Drosophila melanogaster: one gene and its partner. The protein of the gene in region 1 interacts with the protein of each later gene in a pairwise test. Each region holds a gene or a part of one and is shown on either strand. Other genes may lie near its edges.

Evidence for each region.
Region 2: the proteins of CG13947 (region 1) and CG42851 interact in a two-hybrid assay, tested with the Drosophila melanogaster proteins (one large-scale study listed by BioGRID).

The regions. Positions count from the first base shown.
Region 1 is NT_033779.5:776,977-780,193, forward strand, and holds CG13947 (uncharacterized protein), read left to right. Parts: upstream 1-2,196; 5' UTR 2,197-2,227; coding exon 2,228-2,587; 3' UTR 2,588-2,679; downstream 2,680-3,217.
Region 2 is NT_033778.4:24,807,342-24,810,663, reverse strand, and holds CG42851 (uncharacterized protein), read right to left. Parts: upstream 1,340-3,322; 5' UTR 1,203-1,339; coding exon 1,008-1,202; 3' UTR 557-1,007; downstream 1-556.

The sequences.
Region 1 (3,217 bases):
CCCAGGGTATGTGAATACATTTAGTGGACTAAAAGGTGTTACAAGCCCCAAACGCCGAACAAGAAGAACCGCTTAAAGCGCACGGGGTTGTTTCAGCATTTAACGGAAAAAGTTTTGCCATTCAGTTTGGCACCACCCACGCTTTGCCACCCACCCACGGAGAACGACTCTTTAACATGGTGAAAATTAAAAGTTAAATGCGCAAAGTCAATAAAAGCCGGTCATGGCGACGGCGATGGCGGTGGCGATGGCGATGGCGATACTAACAAATGGAAGTAAGAACGAGGCAGTTGGGAAATCCTTTAATGCCATAGCATTTGCATGGCAATATAGACTTTGGCGCAGTGGAGCTGGGAATGGATGGGTGATCCATCGAGGACAATAGCTCGCCTCTTTGTCTTTTGTGCGGCACTTGCGACTGTTTGCCCAGAGATAAAAACTCGGTTTGGGGCTTGGGCAACTAATAGAATGCACTTGCAGTAGTCAGGACGCCCAGGATTCTCAGGATTCCGGGGCAAGGTCCTTCGGAGTGGTTTGCGTTTTGTCTTTGCCGGCTGAGTGGCTGCGTTTGCTTTGCTAATTGATGCACTAGGCGCCTGTGTGTTTTTCAATTACCAGGCACCAAAAAAGGACCTACGACTCAGCGAGGCAAATCCGAGCAGATGGATTCCTTCCCACGGATCGGATAGACAGCTGATTAAACCATCAATTCTCGAGAACAAAAGCGTGACCGGAATAATGGCACAATTCGTTCGATCCAACACCCAAGCCACATTTTCCCCACTTTTCGCCCTCTTTAACTGCACTTGGTTGGGCGGAAAACAAAAATCAATTGCGCAAAATATGCAAAGCGTTTTTAATTAAAATTTGAAGATCTTGGTCGGACTAAGCTCGGCAAATTATAGAAAGCGAACGCATTGGGCCGTGGATTATGGCCAGAGGCCGAAAATGGGCAAAAAGTTGGGGCAGGGAACGGGAAACATTCCACAGTTGTTCAGATTTTTTAATTGCAATTGCAGCGCTCATTAAAGCGATAAATTTTCAATGCAAATGAAATTTGCATTTTAATATCCCCAGCCAAGTGGGAAAGTGCAGGGTCGTGGCAAGGAGAAGGGGTAAAAGGGGGCCCGCAATAAAACGAAATTAGTTTCCATTTACGCACATTGAATTATCACTTTCCCTTCTGTATCACAGAATTAACAAGGAGGGCGGGTGGAGGAGGAAGAGATTGCAGCCTGTGCTCGGTGTGGCTGGAGCAAACATTGGCCACTTGCTTTTAGCACTAATTAGTCAATTTATGTCCAATTTGCTAATTTGTGGATGCTTCGGTCTAAAACTGTGAGTGTAACCCGGCAACGGTTCTCGGACATCGACATATGTATCCTGCTGGTCCGCCCGGGCATACAGTGCGTATGATTAATGTTTAATTGCATTAGCCTGAGTGCCATCCTCGCCTACACGGCTCGCAAATGTGATTAAACTGAAAGTGGTTAAGCTGGATTGCTTTGATTCATTTAAATTCAACTTGAAACTAGGCCAGTTTTCAAATATATTGTATACTATTCTTTATTATATTAATTGCACTAAGGAGTAAACTATTGTCTGAGTTGATTGCATAAAGTATGCACTAGTTTAACTCTATTTTCACAGCTCGAATTTATTCAAGTGCACTTTCGAGTGCGCATTTCAGACCTTGCAATTTTCCCCGACCAATGCAAATTAAATTAACATTTATTTATTGGTCCTGCATTTGAAGGACCCATGCAAACTCATAAATCGCATCCGCTGCTGGTCGAACTGATGAATTAGCCGCAAGCCCAATGGAATCGAATCAGAAGGCGACAACTCCATTAGCTATAAAAACCACCCAAACCACGTTCTATGGTGATAAATAGTCGACTGGACAAACACTTTGTGTTTGCCAACACAAGCACAAACGCAGACAAGAGCGACGACGGCAGTATTGAAATCGAATCAACAGCAGCTGGTCTGTGACGCTGGGGAAAAACAGATATTCATTCATCTATCCATCTAGCGTTTGGAACAGCTCAAGTCTCTTTGTCCGGCTCCGGTTTTACCAAATTACACCTGACGTTTATTTGATCGGCGACGACGTCACCGAAAACCATCTGGTAACGAAGTCGGTGGAACTGGCGAGGTGAGAGTATAAAAGGCTTGTGGAACTGGTGAATAGGTATCAAACACCAGTTCCACGGACAGATATAAGATGCGTTCCTTCATCATCATCGCCCTCTTCGCACTGATTGCCGTGGCTGCCGCTCAAGGTGGACCCCAGGGCGGACCTCAGGGTGGACCTCAGGGTGGACCTCAAGGTGGACCACAGGGCGGACCCCAGGGTGGACCTCAAGGTGGACCCCAGGGTGGTCCTCAGGGAGGACCCCAGGGTGGACCGCAGGGAGGACCCCAGGGTGGTCCTGGTGGACCCGGTGGACCCGGGGGACCGTGGGGACTGCCTCCAAATGCCACTCTTCCCAGCAACAGCACTACCACCACCACCACTTCAACGACCACCGAATCCAGCACCAGCACAACCACGGAAGCCAGCACCGAGTCATCCCCTGCTTAAGGCGCAGGACTCCAGCCAATCTAAAATCCATTTTTGGCTTGTTCTCTTCCGCGCTTTCCTCGATATTAATAAAAGTCTTTTCTGCAAAAAGTAAATCTTTCTCACATTTTCTCAGCACCATTTCGCACAAGATACTTGCATTACGTCTACAGAGAGAAATCGTTTGATTCAAGGGGAAAAAGCAGTATTAAATTAATAGTGCGATCAAATTGAGTCTAAAGTGTTTTGTGTTGAACACCCTTTTTGCTGTAACAGCACATAAATTAAGTATTTGTGGGATCGAAAATTTTACTAGTGTAATAAAGCATTCAGATAAAGTGGGATTTCCTGTCAGTGCAGCCCCGTGATGGATGGCAGACCAAGGCGATGGTGGAAGGGCAGAGGGAGGAATGCAAGCCACGGGATTCGGAAATCGAAATGTAACTTGTTCGCCGAGGCCGCCTGGTGGCTGACAGCCGGCGGCCATGAGAGATTCGCTCGGCTGCTGTGACACTTGGAATAGGCACGTCCTTCGAAAGGGACGCGGCAGCAACAAGAGCCCACAAATCCTAGGATGCGCTGCATCAGTTCTTTAAGCCGCATCCTGGTGGATGAAGCCAGCCCGTTTTAAATGGACCATGCAGTCGCCCT
Region 2 (3,322 bases), on another chromosome or scaffold:
ATTGTACTGGCGTCGGCAGTTGTCGTTGCTGTTGTTGTTGCCATCGTTGTTATCCCAGCGACGTAACAAGTGTCTGGCCCCGCACCTTCAGCCCCCTCCTCCTACCCTTTGACCTCTTGGCTGCACATGCGCAGGCCCAAAAAACTTCCGGTACAACAAGCAGTACAACCACAACGACAACAACAACGAGCAGTATGTAAATGGGAAAAATTTAGTTGTGTCACATTAAAAAGCAATTATCACCTTAAATTAACCGACGGAGTCGGAGTCGCATACATTGCCCATCGAAATATTCAAATTGCGCGACTCGACATTTTTTCTAATGACTTACCAAAAGGAGCGAAGGTAGGCGGGGGAGGGGCTGTCCAAATTAACTTGTTGCTATTTTCAATTGGATGCCTTCGGTTCGGTTTGTTTGGGTTCGGGAGGTTTCAAACGGTTGCGCTTTTAATTCGTTTTAAATTGTCTCGTAGCCGTAGTTTTGTTTCCGTTTTATTCGAACGGGAAAAGTGTTGGCTACTCATCATTGATACGGATTAAATCATATCTAAAATATCATTTGATTTAGTATTTATTTACTCTACAGTCACCTCTTGTAAAATATATATTTATAATTTGTCACAAAACCATGTGATGCCATATTTCCATATGCTCCCATTTCCATAGATCGCAGCCCACTGTGCCCGTCCACCGTTGAGTGCTATGTGGCCTGGACATTGACAAAACAAAATGAAAACTTTTTCTGTGTTTTGATGGAAGCATTTGTCAGCGATTTTCCAGCGCCAGACCCAAAAGCGCGCTTTAAAACATTTTGAACAATTTAATTAGAAGCACATAGGCCAGACCTCCAGCAAGCCACCCTGGCCAAATTATCATGTGCAGCAAGAGCAAAACCGTTTCCGATGTGATTTACGAGCAGCATGTGTGACATTTGTCGCCTCCACCTGTCCGCTTACATCAGCGGCAATTACGGAGAGAGAGAGAAAGAGAGAGAGATGTTGGCTCATCTACAACTGGAGCAGCTTCACCAGCAGGAGCAGGAAGAGGCTTTCTAGGAGGGCGCACCACCAGGGAAGCTTGAGCCTCTTGGCTGTGACACTTTGCAAAGGGTGGTGGGCTAGAAAGATCTCCTCGTGGAGGTAGCACTGCTGGCGTCCGAGAGTTAGTCCATTTCTGCACTCCTCTCCTTCGTTTGTTTCCATCGGCAGACCCAGCAGGAGCAAGAGAAGCCACATGGATCTGCAAGGCCCCTTGAAACCTATGAATCGTAGGTTTTCTGAAATCTATCAAATATGTTGTTGAATTTGGTTCCGCCTCCGAAAAATGCAAAGTTTGCTGTGACTTCGGGGCTCAAAAAATTCGAAGCCTGAAAAGGTGTCTATTCTGGAGCTGGGCAATTAATTAACAAAGACTGCGGTCGCGGGACTGTATACCAGCTTACCCCTTCCCACGCCTTTTGTGTGTGAGTGATATGATTTATACTCACTGGCCGGCGCCACATCGAAAATCCTCGGCATCGGTCGGCATCTTTCATGTCTTGAAACTGGGAACTTAGAGCTCAGAACTGGAACCTCGGTGCCCAGAATCCAGAATCCAGTATCCAGAACCCAGAACTCAACTTAATTCCCTGTGTGCGTGAGTGTTTTGCGGACGTTGCTAAGGATGATGCTGATGATGATGAGAGGCGGCTGCGCTTTTAATTCCCGGCCTCGTCTACCTCAGCTTCAGCGTCCTGGGCTCAGTTTTCGGAAATTCTGCATCGACTTTTCACACTTCCTTCGGCTACGCTCCAATTTCAATCGGAACACCCCCGCTGACTGGACGGCATTAAAAAGAGATTTGCCCGGCTCGCTAATTATATTTTGGTACACGGCGAAAACACCTTCCGAGCCCTTAGCCCGGAAACCCTTGACCTTACCCCTACCTGGGTGGGTGGTGGTGTGGCTAATGAGGTGCCCTGCAGGAAGGAAGGATTAGGCGGGTCGCAACGGAACGGATTTAACTAATCCAAGGCCATTGCCTAGCGCCGGCTCAAAGTTCGTCTCAATTGGGCTCGCAATCGGATTCGCACTCGCAGTCGGATGCAGATTCGGATACGGGTTCGCCCGTCGAGAACTGGGCCACCGAGTTTATGGCCCGATGCAAATGAGGCCCAAGCTCACAAGCCAAGCCAGCTAACGGTGCAGCTTCTGCTGCTATGCTACTCTCCTACTCGGCTGCTTCAACTGCGACTCTGTCCTCCAATGTTGCACTGCAGCACAGCAGCAACGCCCCCTGGTAGATCGCTCCGGGAGTCCGAGTCAGCCGCATCTATCAAACTGCGAGGAGGGGCAGATACCCACTCCGCGCCACAGATGAGAGCCATGTTCCCGGGTATTATAAAGTGCATTGTGGCTACCAGTTAAGTGCATGTTGCTGGCCAGAGGGTTCGGCAGACGGAGCCCAGCCCCCGACTTCTTCTCCGACTTCATTTCGACTGCGGCATCGGTAGGTGTGTAAACTATGTTGCTGCTGCCCCATGTTGCCGTTGCTGATGCTGTTGCTGCATGCCGCATGTTGCCGCTGCCGAGCAGTCAGCAGAGCCAACCCATCAAAAGCCAAAACGCCACGGGGTAGGACCTTTTTTTTTTAGCTTTTTTTAAGCCAGTTATTTTGATACCCTGAAACCGAGGTATATGCCTTTTTATGAGAAGCGTGTACAATATAACCGAAATACACAAATATGGTTGCAATATATATTTCTTTGATTGTTTAATCTTCTGAATTTTCAATTTGGCAGATTATGGGCTTCGAACTATGTCGATAGAGAGTAGTAAGAACTTCGGCACTCCATGGCTGGACTCCTACTTTTGTCTTAGCTGTTTGGAGCGCTTTTTGCAGCCGATCGGAGTAACCGAGTGGGCGCGTTTACGTACAACATCCACCACAAACAGCCACATCCCCATCCACGTCCGCGTTCACCTGACGCCGCCACTGCTGCTGCAGTAGAACAGCTTCTGTTTAGCATGGAAAACAGCAAACTGGGCTGGCTTTCTTCCATTCATGCAGTTGGGCCAGGCTGGCAACAAGTTGCCAAGCTATAATTACTGCATCCATGTCGCTGCAAGTTGCTACTTCATAAATTAGCATGCTGCTGCTGCTGCCGCTGCTGCTGCATGCCGCTTGTGCCTCCTGCTGCTCCAGTCAGCGGCCAGCTCTTTGTCATTGCCAGAACTTAGGCTAGAAATGGCGCGTTTTCCAGGGAAACAGATCGAGGCCCAAAAGCACAAATCTCAAATCACAAATCACATGGCCAGCATTAGGCTTCCGTGTGTAGTCTCCT